Drosophila melanogaster: one gene and its partners. The protein of the gene in region 2 interacts with the protein of the main gene of each other region in a pairwise test. Each region holds a gene or a part of one and is shown on either strand. Other genes may lie near its edges.

Region 1 (7,164 bases), on a different chromosome or scaffold from region 2:
TAAATTTCGCCTAAGACATTGTCAACGCGGTTTTTTCTATGGGGTCAGAGGGCGAAATGTGTGGCTTCCCTGCGATTGCGAAAATCCAAGAGAGAATGAAAACGCCTGGCAGAATGTTTACCCAACACGCACACACACACACACACACACACATACAGCGATGGAGGGAAAAGCCAAATTTTCATGTCTTGCGGGGCGAACGAAAAATGGCGCATTGCTGTCGTCGCCAAGCGACAACGACTACGACAACGACAACTACAAACGCTCTTTTGGCCCGATGTTTGCTGCATTGTTACTTCATTTTCATTCTCGTTTTCGTTACCTAGCCATCGCTATTGCCACACCATCACCCACCACCCACCGCCCAACGCCCAGCTCACACCGCACCACCAACCCTTGTGGCATGTCTAATTTTCCAGAGGTTAACATACTTAACTTGTTGGCATGCGTTGCAAATGCGCCAAGGCTGCGTTGCACCAAGCGGCGCCACATTGCGACAATTCGCTGCGGCAAAGGAAATCGTACGGCAGCTGGAAAATGGGCAAAATCGCCGTCCAATGGTGTCCAGTGGCCAACTGTCCAATGGGCAATGTGAAATCCCAGTGGAATGGTCAAACGTTCCGCATTGTAATTGCACACACACACGCATTCGCTGGTTTGCCGATTTGTGGACATTATCTTTAGCACAAATAACAAATGTATTATATGTGAATGATTCCATTTTCTAGGGATTAAGCTAATGTAAATTAAAACATCATTTTCGAGAGCTAAATAAAAATGCTGTTTTAAATATCAGGCATAGATAAGGCAACGTTGCGTATGCGTAATTTTCCATAGGCAACTATGCGTATGAGTAATTTAAAATGATTTTGGCGGATCAGGAATTTGTTTGGTATTTTTTTTTTCAATTATAGGGTTAACAATTCATTTAACTGATTGATAAATAGTTTAATTAGTATAATTACAGCCTAAAATAACTATTCATTTCTAATTCTTATTTTGGCAAGCACTAAAATTTCTTATTCATACAAAATATTTATAATATACACCACTGCATTCACTATACAAATTGAAAGTTTTGATAAGCTCGAAAAGAATTCAAGGGAGTAAATTTGTTGACTTTTTGCCGATTGAGTCATAAAATCCCAGCTAATTCATAGCACTCTTCCACAATTTTCATATTTATTCCATAAGCATTTGAAAACCTCTTATAAGCGTGGTTTTAAAAATATACATATGTTTTTATACTCACATCAGTAATTCGTTTGTAACAAAGTCTACAATTCGGCCAAATTCAAACTCTACGTGATCAGAGTCCAATTCCAAAGTCACCGCCATGGCCAAACGCGATATCCTGCCCATCTTTCCATCCCGCGCCAATTCGGTGATCATGAAGCAGCGCGTTTTGGCGGCTAGAAGGGGCGTGGGTCTCCTCAAGCGGAAGCGGGACGCCATCGATATGAAGCTACGCGAATTGCGTCGCATCCGCTTCGACCAGGACATGCACGGCGATGAGGCGATGCGCAATGCCATATTCTCGATGGCAAAGGCCAATCTTCTGGGCGCCGATTTCAAGCCGCAGATGGTAAGCCGCAGCCACGTGGCAACCGTATCGCTACGCCGCACGGAGATCAAAATTGTGGGCGTCAAGCTGAACACCCTGGAGCTGGAGACGAAGGGCGTGGGCGCTTTTCCGCTGGCTGGTCTCAGCTGTGGCGGTATGCAAGTGAGCCGAATCAGGGACTCCTATACGAAGGCACTCAAGGCACTGGTGGAGTTCGCCTCTCTGGAATACCAAGTGCGAATGCTGGAGGCAGCCTCGTTGCAGACCAACATGAGGGTCAATGCTCTGGAGCATGTGGTAATTATAATTAATTCATATGATCCATATGTTATCATGGATAATCTTCAATAAATATCACTTTGTATCCGCAAGGTAATACCCATCCTGCAAAATACCTATAACTATATATGCGGCGAGTTGGAGGAGTTCGAGCGCGAGGATTTCTATCGCCTGAAACGCTCCCAGGCGAAGCAGCTGGAGGCCAAGATGGCCTTCACCGAGCTGATCAAGACCAAGAACATGACCGACGAGGAGCTGGAGACCTACATAAAGCGAAACATAAATCAGACGCGTCCTCCAGCGGCCGACACACCCTTCGATCAGGAGCAGTTCGAGGAGCGTGAGGTGAAGCGGCGCATGCGGGAGGCCCGTCTGTCCCTAAAGCAGCGCCGCGAGCAGGAGAGAAAGGAGGCCATCAAGCGGGGCGAGCCCCCACCGCCCACATCCTTCATCACCACCCACGGAGCCTCGTTGAGTTTCGCTGGTCGCCAGCGGGATCCGCGAGCCAGCAGTGGTGATCTGTACAGCACCAAGCGGATGCTCCTCTCCTCCGGACCGGAAAGGAAGTCCGCCAGTAATGTGACCGAAAGGAAGTCCGATACTCCTCCGCGTAATAGCCAGGAAACTCAGCGCAGATCCAGCCAGATGTCGAAAGATGTCGTAAATGAAGATCCACCCGAAGAAAGTTAGTTAATCGGACTCACAAATCCAAAATCTAAAGTTGTCCAAAAATTCTTAATTATTTTTAATATGGTGTGCAAATAGAAGATTTATTTTAGGTGATCACTTCGAAAAAGTATAGCAATTTCAGTCGAAAATCGAAAAATATATGGAAAAATTTACCGTCATTGTTATTAATAACGTATACGTATGTAATTTCTGTCTGCTGTATAATATACATGTGTATGTGTGTATGTTAATTCCCCATCATATGCAATGGCAAATGCTATATGTTTGCAACAGCTGACTTTACAGTTCGTTTTTTTTTAACATCGAATGTTAGTTTAACATTTACGTTAACATTTATCCGTTAAGAATAAAATTTGCAACATTTTGAAGTATATTTTTGTCAATTAAAATTTGAACTTAAAAATCGAAGAACTGTTTACATAAACATAAATCACAACCGGTAATTAGAATAAACGGACAATAAAAAAGACATTTGTTTATATAGATGTACATATGTGAGTACATACATAGTTGATTCATTTTTTTCTATTACTGCAAGGGCAAACCTATGCATAAGTTTATTTTTGCAGAAGCTAGCTTCCTATTATTTATAACTTTAGTTACCTGTAGTATGTTGATACAATTTTTGTACACACCTATTTTCGCGAAAAGCGCCGGCGCGACCGTTACAACGGCGAAATCAAACTTATTTTCGCTTTACGAAGGTGAGTGGATAAGCAACAGAAACAAACACATGCAGACGCTGCCGCTGCAAAAGCGAACTTACCCGGTTCGTTCTCGCGAGAGCGAGAGCGGTTATTGCTATTGCTGCTGGCAAAATAAAACCGTATATATGGCGACGCAGCGCTATTTTGAACACAAAGTTTTGAGTCGTCGACCGTTGCGGACGGAAATTCAGATTAGGATCGTGAGTTGTCAGAACAAACAGACCAGACATTGCATATAGAGAGCAGTATTGGGCCAACAAAAAAAAAAAAAAAATACAAAAAAAGCGAAAAGAGCCCACACCCAAGCACCAGGAGCTGCGAACGTTTCGCGGAAAAGCCAATTTCTCAGCGCCAGCCAAAAATCAAGAAAACCAACGAGCAAAAAATTAAACAAATATCTTTATAAAAACCGAATTCGAGCAACTCTTATATGTATTAGCTCTCCCCGCCATATATCTACTATATAAACGAGAATTCTGCCGTGTGCGCGCGTGTGTTTGGCATATTTCGCACAATAGATGAAAAAAAAAACGAATGAAAGCCACAAAAAAATAAAGAAGAAACGCAAGGCGAAAATTTGTATTAAATTCGGCTGAAGCAACAACACTAAAGAAATTTCAGAAACTGCCACGGCGAGAAAAAAAAGCGTCGGCGTCGGTGCTTTGGACGGACGCTTTTCTTTCTCTCCAAGCTGGCAGTAGTTTTTCTCCTCAGCCTCTTCCACCTCCAGTTGACCCCCCGAAAGTAATACCCAACAAACCTCTTCTTGCTTCTTTTGCAGTGTGTTAATTTAGTAAAATATAAAGTTAACCGCGCGTTCCGTAATTCCACTCACACACATACCAACACCCAAGCAGCAGCAGTAGCCGCAGCGGATTAAAACTTCGTCACTCTAGCAACAAACAGAAAAAAAAAACACCTACAAAAATGGTAAGTTTATGGGGCTGGAGAACATGTGCATCTTTATTTTCTGTTTACACAACCTGCGGCCATCATTTTCCATTGAAATTTCCACAGTTTTTGCGAAAAATCAAAGTCAGACAGCGACCCCCAGGGCTATTGCCATTAGTGCGAGCGGGAGGAGCGAATCGCTTCCAATTAGACGTTGTTTATATGGTTTTAACGGCTTTTCACACACACACACTCGCTACACACATCCCAGCACACCAAACACCCCGTCGAAAAGCAGCTGTCCCCGGGAAATTCGTTTACATTTTGCACCCCAAAAATATATCGCCTCACGGGTAGAAAAAACCAGTTTTTTCAACAACCCAATATCGTTGATTTAGAAACAAGAAATTGCGAACACCATGCAACCCCTTGAAAATATGGTAGTTTATACCCCTTTCACAATGAAACATAATCAAAATCCATAAAACTGCATTGAGAAAAAGTGAATGCAATCATTTGAAATTAAGTTTATACTTAAACTAGTATATTTAAGCTGCAAGATTTTCATGTTCTTAACCTGACTTAATCAAATGTTCAACTTTGGCCCCTAGGGTCACAGAAAACAAGCAGCACAATTAAATAGCAATGCCAATAGCAAGAATTTACACACATGTCACGTCACTCGTCAAAATTATTATTTATTTTATCAAGGCTGTCGCACACGGAATGTTGACGCGATCGGGTTCGCCCTATAATAATTCCATGACGTTCGGGTAGAAATACCCCTGGAAACCCAATCAGGCGTGGAAAAGTGGAAACTCTTATCAGCATCTCGAGCAACACCTCATTTTCGAAGCCCCCCTGCTTGCCCAACCCACCACCACCATTTGGGATCATAAATCAATGTGATTTTAGCCAATTTGTTGAGCATTTATGCACACACACACTCGCATTCCTACATAGACGCGTTGCCATCGGCACTTTTATCAGCAATTTTTCAAAGATCCCCGCAAATAATAGAAAAGCGCCCTCCATTTTGCTTATCAGTGGAAAATGTGTGAATATATATTGATGATGAACAACAAAGTCGCCGGTCCCGGCATTATTGGCCTCTCCTCTTTGCCCCGCCGTTCGTTGTTCGCTTGTTCTTTGCTTTCTGGTTGTATTTTTTATTTACCGCACACTTGGCCGCAAAAATTGAGGTTAGACACGGCCCCATGGAAATGGTGAAAAAATTCTTTAGAGGCATTTCTCCTGCTCTTGCGCTCAGCTTAACCGTTTCGACGCTCTCTCGCATAACCGTTTCACACACTTTCTCGTCTCTCTCTATGTGCAATTATTTCGTTTGCGTTATCAGTTCCGTTTTGTGCTGCGTCTCTCTCTTTCCGTTTCTTTCAGCATTTCATTTTTTTTTGCGCCTTGCGCTTGTCACTTTTATCGGCGCCTGCCTTTTCTTGTTTTCTTCCATAACCGTTTCATTTGCCGCATTGCGGTTATTTTGCTGTTTCGCCTTCGCCTTGGTTCGTCCGCTTCGGTCGTTCATTCGTTCGGCTCCGCGTATTCGTATTCGTGTGCGTGTGAGTGAGCGTATGGGTGTGTGTGTTGGCGGCTGCCTGTTCCACTTTGCCTTTTCGCGCAAGAATTTTATTGTAACGGCACAGGCGAACGATGGGGGAGGAGGAGCGCTGCAAATGAAGAAAAATTCCTGCTAGACGCCGCCGCTTAACCACATAATCCAATTTTCTTGCCGCCCTCTTTGCGCTTTCTTCTCTCGTTCGTTTGCTTTCCTCTGCGCTTTTTGATAAGAAAGCCCCACGCCCACTGCGATGCCCACACCCGCGCCACACCTTCTTTCAGCCTCATCTGGTGTCGCCTAATTTAATTAGCGATTTTACAGCTCACGCAGAATGCAAACAGCTTTTAATTAAAATATATCGCATCGCTTTCTACGTGGCCAATTTGTTTCAGTGATTCAACCAACGCTGCTAACTTGGCCCAGAAGCAAACATTTGCCAAGGGTTTTACTGACTGATCTTCAAAGTTTGTTGATCTTTAGCTCGGCTAATTATGAGATACGTTTGTCTGTATATCTTATTTGTTTCCGTTGAAAATGAGCCAACATTCATATAAATTTCCATGAGTCACTGTGTTCCTGGGCTGACTTCATCATATGATCATATGGCCTATGATGAATGCCCGATGATATGTGTGTGTGTCATGTTAATAATGGCAAATGACTGGCTTATGGCTCAGTTAGCACAGTTGTTTGGATCCCGGTGCGAATGCACTTAAATTGTACCCAAAAACCAAGCTCTCAATCTAACCGTCATTCATAAAACCAAACTAAACTCCATGAAACCGGTTGAGACCGGCAAAAAAAAAAAAGCGTCGGCTATACAACGGTAAACCCGGCAAACTTGGCTTTAACATAAAGCCGCATAATTTCAGCCAAGACCTGTTTTAATGTTGTATTTAACTGTCAAACTCATTGGAAGAAATAGTTTTATTCAGCAGAACTCGTTTGTGAATTTATAAATGATTCAAGCCCAAGTGTATTAAAATTATTGTTATCAAAATGTATTCATAAGTATGAATAATATTTGATATCATATTATTTGCAAGTGAAAAGTGATGATCTTGAACTAACTACTATACAATGACCCATCCAATGAGTCACTACCTTAAAAAATGACGGACAAATCCCGATAAATATACGCACAGCTTGAGTCCTGATCCCCCAGGCATACATTTTCGGAAGGCACTGTATTTGCCTTGGATGTGGAAGCTTCCTCGGGACGTCGTGGGCGTCTGATTGTGCATACAAATGGATTACCAATTAGGCATTAGCCAGCCCCCCACTCGATTAACGACCTCGCCCGATTGACTGCCATTAATGGATATCATCGGTGGGTGGGGTTTTGCTCATGTTGTTGATTGCAAATGTCGCCATTTGAAGACAGGAGGGCTTCAATTTGCTTTTCAACAGATTGGGGATCTGCATTTCGATGGGTGTTTCTCATTCGGTTTCTGTTT
Region 2 (7,191 bases):
AAGTTTACGGTAAATTGAAAGAATTCACAACTTGTCGCTGTCTTCGTTTGTGGTCCGTCGTCTTCTTTTTGTTGTTCTTGCTATCAAATCGCTTTCCTAGCTCGAGGTAAACGTCTTTCTTTCCTCGATTTGGCCAACACACTCCAGCCAACAGCCAGCAAAAGTGGCAACTCATTAACAACACAAAATCAACAGCGAATTAGTCATCAGGCTTAAATGCATTCATAAAACTCATACTTTCGATACTTCTTTTCTTCTTAAACTAAGGGAAAACAGCCCGATCCAAACGAATTGATACGTGACCGAAAATCCTATAAAAAAAGTAAATAAACCTTTACACCTTTAGACATGCAAAAAAGGCCATCCAACTATTTTCACTTTTTGAGCTTCGGTCGCTTCAAACAATCAGTTTTGGCCACAAGAACCAACCGAAAAAGAGGGTCTAACCGAAATCGAAGGTCTCAATGAGCTGCGTTTGTTATGCAAATTGCTTGGTTTTCATTGAAAAAATTTACTTTCATTACTTTGTACGGCCTGGCAGTAGCTAAACAATGTTTTCGATTTAAGGCGATAGAAAACTAAACCATCTTCAATTAGATATTTACGAAAAGAAATTAGAAATGTGTTGCGCCACTGACAGGTTATCGTTGGTGAAAATTCCACCTTTAAATATGATCTTTAGAACTAAAGAAAATAAACATTGCAATTATAGTAACCAGTTTTAGCACCGGATTACAAGTGAGCAAATGAGCGCTGATTACAGAGTCCGATTACAACCATAATTCTTTAGTTTAATCATTTAATCTAGAGAATTCCGGAAAAACTCATCTAATCAACATGTAGATCGGCTTTTTTAAGCGAACTACTTAATTTCCGAAACCAGTCATGAATCAGAGTTTCAAGCTGGCGTCATTTCCCAGTCGGTTGCCATCGAAGCCGCCTTTCAATTGGACACCCCATCCATCATTTAGCACATGGACTAACGGCTGCCTCCGCACAGGTATAGTATAGTGTGGCATGGTATCAGCCGTAGTGTAGTTACTCATTGGGAGGCGTCTCTCCTCTCCACGGTAATTGCAACATGCCAGACAAAAAAAAAAATAAAGCAGCAACAGCTACGGAGCAACCAAATTTAGTGGCACACGGCGGCACGTATACTCGTACACATACCAGTCTGGTTACGCTCTGCCGGTCAAAATACGAGTCTAGTGCACATAGGGAACCCATCTATCCGCGATCCACACTCGAACCACAACCATATAGCGACCTCAATTGTCGGCTGGAGTTCAAACATTTAACTAAGACATACATACATGTATTAAGTAATATTGCTCAATACTCGTTGTCCTGTTATCAGCACCCAATTTAATAGTTTAATGCCCTCATTGTCATCTAAATCCCCTCTTTCCGCAAGTACTTAACTGTAGAACGCGGAAAAGGTTTCATTTATTGGGAACTCTATTTGTATCTTAAGGATTGCTTTTTAGGTAAACGTATCTATATTCGTATTTTAATCTTTTTTTGGTACTCAATCCACAACTGTTTTCAAATTGAAGAGAGCACTTAGACTAAGCACAGTCATGACTGAATTATTTAAAAACGATTGCCTAATTGCCGTACCTGCTGTTATCAGAATTTCCCTGCAGTGCAAGTAGCGATAAGAAGCGAAACATCAAACAAGGTGTAAATCGAGGTGTGAGGCAGACATTTGTATCTCTGGGCATGACCAAAAACGATTAAAAAACTTATAGAATCGAGCAAAGAGCGTCTAAGAATTTCCGGCTCTGCAGATTTAGCATCGAATGGTAGTGATAGTGGACTCAGTGACGAACGATTGGCACGTATCTAAGTGCATATATATGGTAACCATATGTATGTATATGTACTGCATGTATATATGTCTATAAGTAAGAGAGTGCGTTTTTAGTGAGTGATCCAAAAGTTCATCGAGAGTCATTAGTGAAAGTTCGTGTGTGGCAGCCACGTACAATTACGGTTTATGCCATCTACTCTACACTACATACAGACACTCGGCCATATATTATCTATAAACATATGTACATATAAAAGTATGTATGGCGTTCATACCAATTGTTTAATACAACCACTTTTTGTTCACTTTGACTTTGACACTTGACATCATGTTGTTGTCATCTTTGAGCAATTTGTGGCATAAAAACATTTCCTATCTGAAAAATTCATATTCGTCTTATTTTACAAAAAATGCAATAATAATCCTATAAGGTTTCACTTTACTTATACGTTAATTGGAGCACTTTAGTTAAACCCATATTGTTTTATTGGTCACTTGAATTATAGCTCTCAAGATAATATGGCTAATAATAAATCCGTAGTAAAGTCTATGGAATGCGAACGATTCTTAAATTTAAGAGCAAATGCACTTTTTCAATTCATTTGAACATTTATAATATTACTTATTTTACAAAAATATTGATTATATGTTGCCTTTAGACCTTTTCAAATTTAAATTATAAAGTGTTTGTTATTAATGTGAACTTGTAAATGATTTAAATTTAAAAAACACCGTTAGTTGTAGAATTTTTTTTTAACTTTTTCCATAATTACTAGCATTGCTAACAAAATTCTTTTTCGCAAAACTTCGTTTGTTGTTCACACAATTTGCTTCTGGTTTAACAACTGAAATCTTCTACAAAATTTAACGACTCACCAGCGACAACAACAAAAATAAAAAATGGGCAAAGTATTATGTTCATTTTTTTTTTATTATGTATTTAGAGAAGACCTTAAAAAAGTTTCACCAAACAAACAGAAAGTCGCTGCGTGCGCGAAAGCCCCCAGCAACAACAAAAACAAAAACAGCCCAACAACCCAAATGGAAACGCAAAAAAAAGGTTGAGATGGGAGAGAAGAAACAAAAACCGGCTAATGAAAAGCGTTTATTTGAAAAAGGGTTTTCCAATTGTCCACACACGAAATGTCCCGTTGTGCAACAGCAAAAACAACAAACCGGACAAACAAGTGTGCCTGCGTTTTTGTTGTTATTGTCAATTTCAGAACTCTTGACCGCTGAACTGCAAGAAAAAGCAGACGCTTCATGATCGATTTGTATTTATGCAAATTTATGTAAATGGGATATACAAATATTTAACTTGAATGTTTGAAATTTATAAACAATTAATGATAGTACACTCTGATTAGATTAGATTTACACAGTAAAAGTATTTCATATATGTATATTTTTCATAATCATAATGATAGATTATAAAAAAAAACGTTTTCAACTGATTAATAAAACACACTTAGTCACTGTTTTAAGGTTTACGCACGTAATTCCATAAAAGACTATTCAAATCATTTTAAATTGACATCGTTTATTTCTCAGTGTGGAAGCCTGGTTCAAGCTCAAGGAGAATGAGAGGGAGAGAGCGCACTGTCGAGAGCGGGTGGGAAAGGTACGTGGCAGAGGGGGAGACGGTAGCAGCACCCTTGAATGTGTTGCACTGTGAGCCGCTCTTTACGCATCTCTCCCTCTCGCTCGCTCTGCAGCTCCTCGGCAGGTGTACCTGTCCGTGTGTGCGTGCGAGAGAGCGGGGCTGCGCTTGTAGTGTGCATGTTAGTACCGTTCTAGCCAACGAAACCTGAAGCGTAGCTATTTAATTTGGTCACTCGCCTAAAGCAATAAAAATGCAATGCAGCCACGTCTCCGTCTGGAAATGCAATAAAATCGATGATGTTACACTGAACCGATGCTGTGACCCTTGTCATTTTCCCCACTGGCTTTTCTAGCCACAAACAGACACACATTTACACAGACCGCTTGGCAGGGTTAATGCACTCTTTTCTTTTAGTTTCGTTTCATTTCTTTTCTTTTTTCCAATCACTCTCTACCTTAATTGCCGCCTCAGAATTTTGCACTCTCCGCTTTTCGGTCACCGAATTCGAATTCTAATTGGAATCGCTCTCGCCACGACCGTTTAATTAACACTTTTCCAGACCCGTCGAAAGCGGGATGTTCTTTTTCAAAAACAGGTTACATAAATAGGTCACGCACCAGCAGTCGCAGGAATAGAGCAGCGCGCCGAAAGTCCGCTTTTCCAGCACAGTTAAGCCGAGCAACAGGTGGATTACAGACCACTGATCATTTTGGGGCTGTGCGATTTGTTTATTGTTTTTCTTTTCGCCGAGAAGACAAGACTTGAAGCGAAAAATAACAACCGATAAACTGATCAATAAGAGTGACCAGGTGGTGGGGCCAGTTGCGAATGGCCTAAAAAATGCGCGGATTACTAATCGTGGTATGCTAACGAGTTAACATTACAGTTCATTTGAAAACCGCTTATATGGTCACATTGCCGCGTAAGCAGTCCGATCGATAGACTTCCGATAGCATCGATAAAAATAAGCATTACTTACCCAAATTTATCGACCTGCCTAATTTCGGCGCGCATTTCAAAATATCTGTCATAAGCTATTGCATTTTTCAAGAAATATCTTTTTTCTATGTCAATATATTAAACATGTCGTCATATTAGCTCATTGAAGCGGTTTGTTGATTACCTAATTATTTATACGAACTGCGATAAGTAGTAATTAAAATCTAATTATGCCCCATCAGTAATTATATTTTTGGAAACCAGTACTCCACCATCGCGTAGAGTGGTCATTACATCCAGACTATTTGCCCTGATGAAGTACCTCTTGTGGATCAGCTTACTTTTCATTGGAGAATCCCATGGATACGTGCGCCTCACGAACCTCAAGTGCGAAAGCTATGACAAATCATTCGTCGTCTTTCCCGAATGCCGACTAAAAGTGCTTGGCAGGGGAATTATCGGAGCCAACATACACGTTAAGCTTCTGAAACTGCCAATAAATAGGATGGTCGTGAGATTCATCACTTACCGGAAGCTAAACGGATACCATCCGTTTCTATTTAATGTTTCCGAGGAACACTGTCGCGTCCTAAGGTATCCAAATCGTCTCAGAGTCTTCTACTATTTCTACACCGCCTTTATGCCCTTTTCCAATATTAATCATACATGTCCCTATAATGTAAGTATTTAGTTTCGCCAATATGACAATCATATTAAATCATATTAAAATATATATTTTAAGGATGATATTTACATAAGGAACTGCACCTTGGATGATCGTATGTTTGCCAAGGTCCCATTACCAAAGGGTAGCTATAAGTTAACCCTCGAAATGGATGATGGTGTCGTGAACTGGATTTCCATCATAAACATCCACTTTGAAATTGACGTTGACTAAGATGAACAAAACATTAGAACACCTAATGGATCTAACACAACGAACACATATTTATTTTGCGTTAATGTTTTAATTATTCCTATGCCCGCTATATGATATAGTTGTCCGATCTGGCCCGTTCCGACTTCTATACTTAATGCAATACAAAGTTCGTTAATGCAAATTGCTTTAAAACTGACTAATTACATCGGTTGTTAATACTCTTCGAGAATACATACACAATATGGCGTCTTATTTACTTCTCTGCTAGATCATTCTGAGTTATATTTATAATGTATTCATATTTACTTTGCTCAATGCTCAATTTATCGCCCCGCTGTGTTATCGGCGAGTTATCAGCAGCGTGGTCGTTATCACCGGCGTTTTTAAAAAACTGATTGCGGCAACAAGACGTCTCCGTTTTATCAATAGTTAATGTTTATTGAAATTTCTTTTCTCTCGTTTAAGGTTTAGGTGGTCAGAGTAAACGCCTCCGCAGTTGGGCAGCAGATACAAAATGTTTTCTCGCGTGTCGTGTCTTTACAATGTTTCATTTAAGAATATGAAGGATGTGTGGTGTGTGCTCATTTGGGATTGATTTATATTTTGGAACAATTTTGGGAGTTAGCAGAACTTCCATCGGTTGCCGCACTCGTTGCACATGACGAAGGTGGTCATAGGTTCATCGGCGGAACGAGTCTGCAGCTGGTTGTAGGTGCAGTTGCGCTTCTTGCACTTGGCGCACTTGAGGAGATCGGTCTTGGTGCCCTGCACGGTGGCCAGCTGGGCATCGTTGATGGCCTCCTTGACGAACTTCTCGCGCAGCTTCTTCATCTCATCGCTGGCCATCTCCTCCGGCGTCATTTTGGCCAGCTGCTTGGCAGTGACGGCGCCGCACATAAAGTTGCCTCGCAATCCAGGATTTTTGGGGTCCTTCAGATTGGCCACGCGTGACCTAATGCGATTCTTGTACTTCATATCCGTGTTATTGAACTCGGAGTAAATGGCATCCTCCAGTTCGGCGGCCATTTCCTCCGGCTCACCGCATCCTTCGGGCACTTCACCAATCTTCAGTGCGGTGGCCAGCATTTCGCGGCATTTGATGCGGACCGCATCTGTCATGCCGCCGGAGGGAAACGAGGTCTGTGACGAGGATGTCGAGCCTTTCTTCTCTTTATCCTTGGATGAGCTGGATGAACTGGACTTATCCTTGCCGGAGATTGACGACGACGACTTGGCGGCACTGGTGGACTTCGAGGCACTGCTGTTGTTGGAGGAGCCCTCCTTAGCGGAGCTGTTGTTCGGTGTGGTTGGCGCCGGGCTGGCGAGGAATCGTTTCCAGTTCTTGATCAGCGTCTTGGCCAGAGCGATCACCTCGTCGTCCTTGCTACTCTTGCGCAGCTCGTTTACGGTCATGCCGATGCGCGTTTTGGTCAGAATGTCGAGATTGATGTTAAGCGTTTGCAGGGCCTTCAGCAGGTCCAGAGCCTGATCCTGTCCCTGTACGGTGGATATATGTATATTTGTGACATGATGCGCGGCACGTTAGCTAATCCCGATACTTACTGTGCCGTCGCTGGCCATCTTGCTCATCTTCTTTTGGATTCGAAACACTTCCTCCTCCACGCTCATTTTGGCCCACTTAATTTGATCAGAGGTTAGGTTAACTGGCGTCGGCTGTCGGCTTTAATCGGTGCTGCGGGTCTGCGACAGTTGTTTATGCGGAAGCCGGGCTATTTCTTTTTTTCCCTCCAATAAATGTTGTTTACTATTTTTTTCGTTTCTGTATTCGCAGAACGAGTTGACAGAACACCCTAACGCGTTTTAGTGTTACCGGGCGGTGGCTTGTCAAGAAATGCCTTCCCATGGCTAATACAATTCCCAACTGGAAGTAGTTTGGGTTTCAGAAGTCAACAGTGTTACCGTATTTTAATGTACATCTGGCTTTTAAGCGAGTAC
Region 3 (6,851 bases), on a different chromosome or scaffold from region 2:
CGGCTGCTCTTGCCTTAAATGGTGTGATATCAATATGCAATAAACAATTTAGCCAACTTGGCGTTGTCCGCGCACGTTGTGTGTATATGGACTTGTGGAAATCCAAGATGCCCCGATCCGCAGCTCCAATCAATACCAACTTGGTGTCGAAACTGCTGGCCAAATTGAAAACAGCTTCAGCAGTTCCGTTCGAACCGATCTAGCTACTTGGCTGGGGCAATATTGACAGTGAGAAGTTCATAACGGTGGCATCATAAATTGGCTAATAAAGTGGCAAGCCAGCCCGCGGAGTACCCAGCGATCAGGTGCACATTCTGCCCATTTTTACCATTCTTCCCATTTCTATCGTCTTTCTCCCATTTCACTTATTTTGCCCATTTTGCCCACCTCATCTCATCGAGCGCCTAAATGGCCAGCTCGCCAACTGGCCGATCAACTTTTGCGGCTACGGCTGGCATACAGTTAGAACCAAGAGCTTGGGAGTTGGGAGCTGGGTGCTGGGAGTTGGCCATCCCATGCTGCGGCTTAGGTTTCTGCACATCCGTTGGCTTTCTAGCTTTCTGACTTTCTGCTCCATCTGCGATCTCCATTGAAGACTCGTTGGCACCAGGAGCCACTTGCATCGTATCCGTTACTCGGATCGTTTGTTTAATGAAACGGATCGGAGTTAATCTTCTGGTTTTCGCGCTCCCTCCTCGATCGCATCCATTGGATATAGATAGCACTGTCCAGAGCAGCCGGGTTCCGTTGTGCTGGTTAACCGAAACTCATAAAATAGGGGAATAAAGTGCGCGCTCTAATGAACAAAGCGAATTATTGAATTTCAACTATTGGCTGACAATTAAAATCCAAGCTGATGGATCTCTTATCCTTAGCCGCCACTGACAACTATTGTCTTCGATGGCCAATTGCAATTCGATTTACGCAATTAGCCAAATAAACCAATCAAAATACCCATGATTTCCCAACGATTTATTTAATTTCGCCAAAGTGTGCTGCAATCGCGAGTGGAATCAAACTTGTCTGCAAACGCAACTGCTGCTGAAATTATCTCCGAAATCATAAAAGCCCCGATCGCCCATTGCGTAACTTAAGTGCGAGATATCACATGGTATTGATATGGGGGCTTAAATGCTCCGTCGTGCCGTTCCTGCTTCCATTTGCGAGGAAATCGAGAAAATCGGGAAAATCGCGAAAAGCGCTGCAAGTCCTCCGCTTTCACTGGACGGTACACAAAATGCCATTTTCCATTTCCCCCGCATAAACAAAGGCGCGAAGCTGGAGGAGATCGGAGAAGGAGCAGGAGGAGCAGGAGCAGCCAGAGGAGGAGTTCGGCGGTGGCCACCACAGAAAGTCAGTTGCTGATTATGTTCAACCGGAAACTTATAGAAAAAGCCGAATGTGCCAAACTGGTTTGCAAAATAAACGAAAGCCGAGGTATCGCTTTGAATGCCTGTGTACTGTGTGTGTTGTGTGTGTTGTGTGTGTTGTGTGTGTTGTGTGCTGCTGGGTGCAGATTCGATATGCGGCAAACCTGTTGCTTATTGATGCTGTTTTTGCCAACATTTTCTAGTTTTGAATGTGGTACAATACGTAGCGAACTTAAATCTCAAATCTGCTGGAATGCGAACGATGGTTGCCACACAAATCTTAAATAAACAAGAAAGGAACGCCAGCATTTGGGCACCGAATGGCGGCATACCCTGGTCCACCTGGCCACTCGGCTCCCCTGGATGATCACTCGGATCACTTGGATCACCTGGATACATACATTCATGTATACACCATCGTTCTGTCAGCTCCAACTGCGATTGTTATGCTAATTCGCTGAGTGTTTTATTGTATTTTAATTTTATTGGACAGAGGACGCGCTCTTGGCCATACAAAGTATTTCTCCTCACGGATCCGTGAGATGTTTCATAATATATATCGAATTCTATCAGCATATAAAGTATCTCAATCTATGCCATTCATTTTGGCTGTCCATATATTTATGACTCCTGTGGGAGTAAATATATGATCGTCTTCAAAATGGCCATTTGTCGAGTTTAATGACTCAAAGTGCTTTAACATTCTAATCGTTCTAATGAACTCGACAAGTATCTTAGAGCCAATTTGCTGAGAATCATTTTTCCTGATGATTAATTTTAATGATTCGCCTTTTTATCGAGAACACGTCTAACGAAACTTAAGCAACTGCTGAGTAACATAAACATTCTACCATTATGATTGTCTTAATTGGCCAAAATAAGTTGAGTTTAGAATAATTAAAAACAAATCTTTGAATTTAGATGATGGCCAAAGACATTGAACTGCAAATTCTTGGGTGACAATAAAATTAATCGACCTGACTTTCCGCTGAAGAAAAAACGGTTAGGTGATTATGTTTTCTGCTTTATAAATGGCTTCTAGCCATTTAGCCAAATGAAGATTAATCTCCGCCGCCCGGAGAAAAGAACATTATTTCATCATTTTGCTTCTCCCCGCCTTTGGATGCTGAATAATTTAATAATAATAATACTAATAATACTCCGCACTTACCGTTTGGTCTAAAGATTAAATATTAAAGCAGCTCAAAGTATTTCAGCTGAGTATCCAACGTGAAAAATGGAGTCACACGCCGTTAACAAAGGTTATTCTTGGTCCTCAATTACATTTCGATTTACTATATTATTCAATAGATGTTGTATCTGCGCATTAAAAAACAGGGTTAAACTCGATTAAAAACACTCGCGACACAAATTTGAAGGTGTTGTAATACTTATTTTATGTATTTCTCTGTCATAAAATTCATATTGAATCCGAAGTTGATCATTTCGAAGTTGATGATCACCGGATCACCGGCTTGGAAGTGAGTTTTGCCGCACTGAAGTGAATTTTAATTACTGTTTGGAGGTTGCCCTCTTGGATTAATTATAAGCCATAATGTTTCGCGAAAAGCTGGCGAACAAAGCGGCGCGTGGGAGTTTGGTAGCATGTAGTAAAAGTAGCATGGCAAGTCGATGACTATCTACGTATGCCTGTACAGTGAACACGACTGTGTAAGTTTCTTACACAAATCTCGACATACGTGACCTCATTTGCCGTTTTTTTTTTGTTTTTTTTGGCTGTTTTATTGCTTGTTTCTTGGTTCTTGGCAAATGCCGCAGAAATCCCGGTCGATAAATGCGATTTGCTTAATACGGCGATCACGTTCACATTCCACATTAGTGTTCTATCCTTTGATATTCGGCAAAACGATGATGGTTTCGTTTGTTTTCTGTTTTCACTCCACTGTGAGTTGTGTTGGGTAAACAAAAAAACTGAAAAATTGGCAAGAGAAAGTCTTGCTCTCGGGGGTTAAAGTGGTGTGTACAAAGGTATGATTTTTAGATTTAATGATGGCGTGAAGGCTTTGTTTGCCTCTCGGGGCTTCTTTGTTATTTAAACGGAGCGCTATTTCGAGATATCTGCGTGGTATGCCCTTTTCAGGCTTCTATGGCTACAGCTTTAGGTTGCCTTGGATCCACCGGACACACCTCACACATCCACACATCACACGTCGCCACAAACGGACCATTCTGAACTTTACACATTTTCTTGAGAGATAACTCTTAAAAAATTAGCTCTTGGGCATATTCATACCAGCTCGAAAACCGGTATCGCGCCAGCCACCTTATAGCAATAGCGCTGCGTTGGGGCACAAGCTCATACTCGTCGTGCTACACTGCGCGAAAGTACGTGGTACGTGGTGTCGGCTCGGCGGTTGGATCGGTACTGTTTCGCTTTACCTGTCTCGCGCAGCAGCGGCAACAAGTGGGCGCTACCCGATCCAAGGTGGAACGTATTGGAATTGAGCTGGCATTCGCTCGCTTTGCGGTAAAACTGGTTTTTCGGGGGTTACTCGTTTGCCAGCTGATGGATACCACACCATACTCAAACACACACACACACACACACACACACATGCGAAAGGCTTCGGCTGTGGAGCACAGGTACTGCGATCCACGATCTGCAGGTGCATGTACATACACAGCTATGTACATATGTATATGTGTATGCTGCGCGGACAGAGAATCTCGAGCGGCTAACAGCGTCTGTTAAGTCAAAGGTAAATATGTAAGAGACCACCATGTTGCATTTTCATAGGAGTTGGAGCCGTGGATCGGGCTTAGAGTTAGCCAGCCAGGCCAGGAACCAGTTTTGGGGCTTCGGCTCGGCTTGTCGCTCGCTTTGTGTTTGCTTTTCTGTTTCAGCTGCACTGCAGCCGTTGCTGTGTAAGTTTTTATTAAAATGTTTTAGTCGATGTTGCCGCGATTTTGGCCGCTCACTCCACTCCACTGCAATCCACTGCAATCCACTGCAATGCAATGCAATCCGAGCTGCGATCCGGGGCATGAATGAAGTTCACCAAAGGGGCAGACAGCATTTTTGTACCTGTCAGGCGGGCAGGGAGTCGTCGCATATGCATATTCCGTTGCCATTGTACTGGGACAATGAGACAGTTGCACCCGGCTGGCTGGCAATCCGCGAAATTGGCATTGCCATCATGGGTAGGTGTTTCCATCGAACACCACCATCGAATACCACCATTTCCATTTCCAGCCGGATGCTGCCAGAACAATTGAGCCAATATCGTTATATTGGCATTGAAAGCTGCTCAGATCGATGGGATCAGCCAAATATGATAATTTGCGCAGATCTTGTTTCTCGAAATGTCAAAGCACCTAATTATAGCAAACATAGCATATTCATATGGCACACAAACTGTACGGTAAGATTAAGCCATGTGCTAAATGGCTATTAGCGGAGTATCTTCATGGTGCTAAACGCATGGGAGTCTGCCATCTTCATCACAACTGGCTGGAGGAGAAAGTGCAAGGGTTTTCAGCAGATGTACGTCATTAGCTCGTTTTACTGTTTGCTAACAAGCCAGTTGGCTGTTAGCTCCTCACCTGGCCAAATCCGCATCCCACTGGGTTGGGATTTAATTAAGGCTTAGCTTCTTTCGTTATTATAAAGAGGCAGTTTCTTGCTACATTTATTGGGGGTTCTTGGATTACCATAATGTCTGTGCTCTTCCGGCTTGGTCATCACTTTTACGATTCGAATGGCCCATTTTCGCGATAATTTGCCGATCGGCTTACATATGTCAAGTTCGAAAAAACAAAGTGCCAACTGTTTGAATTCGCTACTCTAACAGGAAGTTTTTGGATTATGAACAAGTTGGTTAGGAGGAGCTTGTAAGGTGTATTTCATTTTAGCCATTTATGCTGACATTTAACAAAAGTGTAGTTCAGTGACCCAAAGTTACACGCTGCTACTGGAGTTGTAGCCAAGACAGATTTGCTTGTGATTCTGCAAAATGTTTTTGGTAGTAGCAAGCTATATGCTGATATGCTCCATGAGTACCGGATATGAAGGTATCAAGCGAAATGTGTCAGCCAAAACTGTAAGGTTTCGCATTGACCATGCGCAAAAGCTCGAATTGCTGGTTGAGCCAGTTTAAAATCATTTTTGCCTTCCTGAGAATTTTCGATTGCACAAACGACAGGTGCAGCATAGGCAAAATAAATTGTGGTGCATAGCAAATATCGTTTCGAAAATGCTTTATTTCAGCCATATTACCAACAGACAGTTGCAGACTAGATTTTATTGGCTCCTGGCTTAACTTCTTTGAAGAAAAGTTAAGTGGGAAAAGCGCAACAAGTCAGTGAACGAGTAAAAAAACATGCAACCTGCTGGCTTTAAAAAATATTACGTTATCAGCGCAAAAAGCGAATGAACTAATAAAGGCAAATAATAAACCGCCTGGTTTCAAATTACTTCACTTTGGCAGAGCTCCACTTCTGCCCGTAAGCAGCTCAGTCTTATGATTGCAATTATAATTTATAATTTCTTTTATTGCCGCCAATTTCTTTTATGAAAGCCAAGTCCCAGTCCCAAACTGCATTGTTCTGCCCCTCACATGCTCTCGTTTTGTCTTTTGCCTGGCCGGGTAAATCATTCCTGGTCCGCTTAATTGCTCCACAAGTACTCCACTCTCCACACTGCATGCCGCATTCCTATTCCTGGCCAGCAGTTCCGAGCTGCAGCCCAGAGTCGCAGCAATTCGATTTGGGACCAATGCGCACCAAATAACCAAAAGATGCCTAGCTGCCGGACCGAACAATCACTTTGCCCAGATCAGTTTCGGCCAGGCCAGAACATATATACAATATATACATATATAAACAGATGGCAGGGCGAGTGTGTGTGCACAGTTGCGGTCAGCAGAAAAGTTCGAAACGGATGGCGGATCTATGGATCTATAGGGTGGAAATTCAATCCGGTCTCGGCGAGAACGGGCAGTACATCTCCTGGATGCTCACGTTATGTGGCTTCCCACATAAGTAAGAATTTGCAGGGAAAGAAAATATGACTCATAATGGATTGATTGATTCATAACTCTTCATATAAACAGAAAAAGATATCTTCTTAATGAAAACAACTTTTTGGGACAACTTTTGATGTGATACGATTAACCATTTACTCAGTAGTTATTTCATATTTCTTGTACCAAATACTTAACACTATCCATTTATGAGGTTTTTAATGTAACTACTTGTTTTCAGTGCACATACCCGAGTTGCTAGCTTCCTGACCGCAGCTGTACCCGTCCCGCAGCCAAGCCATTAACATTGCTTAATTGAATTAGATTCCGAATGCAGATTATGAGTACCATCGCATGCTCACTTCGGGACAAAGCGAGTAGAGTATAGAACGAATAACGCCGCCACTTCCACTTCCCAGGCTCCAGCGATCCACACTCCACTCCATTCCGAGCCAACTCAACCCAACTCCGATCCCATACCGATCCCGATCCCGATCCC

Evidence for each region.
Region 1: the proteins of ck (region 2) and Cam interact in binary tests that used the Drosophila melanogaster proteins (3 or more experiments, as listed by UniProt).
Region 3: the proteins of ck (region 2) and Cad99C interact in binary tests that used the Drosophila melanogaster proteins (3 or more experiments, as listed by UniProt).

Annotation. Positions count from the first base shown.
Region 1 is NT_033778.4:12,256,019-12,263,182, forward strand, and holds the start of Cam (calmodulin), read left to right. Parts: upstream 1-3,379; 5' UTR 3,380-3,440; intron 3,441-4,013; exon of another isoform or gene 4,014-4,021; 5' UTR 4,022-4,167; coding exon 4,168-4,170; intron 4,171-4,257; exon of another isoform or gene 4,258-4,795; intron 4,796-7,164. Other genes in the region: Vha36-2 (vacuolar H[+] ATPase 36kD subunit 2), read left to right, coding at 1,337-1,861, 1,937-2,533. UniProt on the Drosophila melanogaster protein: Calmodulin mediates the control of a large number of enzymes, ion channels and other proteins by Ca(2+). Among the enzymes to be stimulated by the calmodulin-Ca(2+) complex are a number of protein kinases and phosphatases.
Region 2 is NT_033779.5:15,053,635-15,060,825, forward strand, and holds the start of ck (crinkled), read right to left. Parts: upstream 4,229-7,191; 5' UTR 4,034-4,228; exon of another isoform or gene 3,871-4,033; intron 1-3,870. Other genes in the region: CG33679 (uncharacterized protein), read left to right, coding at 4,669-5,034, 5,098-5,253; TfIIS (RNA polymerase II elongation factor), read right to left, coding at 5,857-6,732, 6,799-6,864. UniProt on the Drosophila melanogaster protein: Myosins are actin-based motor molecules with ATPase activity. Unconventional myosins serve in intracellular movements: can function in cells as a single-molecule cargo transporter.
Region 3 is NT_033777.3:29,838,564-29,845,414, reverse strand, and holds the start of Cad99C (cadherin 99C), read right to left. Parts: upstream 3,759-6,851; 5' UTR 3,625-3,758; intron 2,691-3,624; exon of another isoform or gene 2,542-2,690; intron 1-2,541. UniProt on the Drosophila melanogaster protein: Cadherin that functions in epithelial morphogenesis and the intestine epithelial immune response. Essential for female fertility. Regulates the length and organization of apical microvilli in developing follicle cells and salivary glands.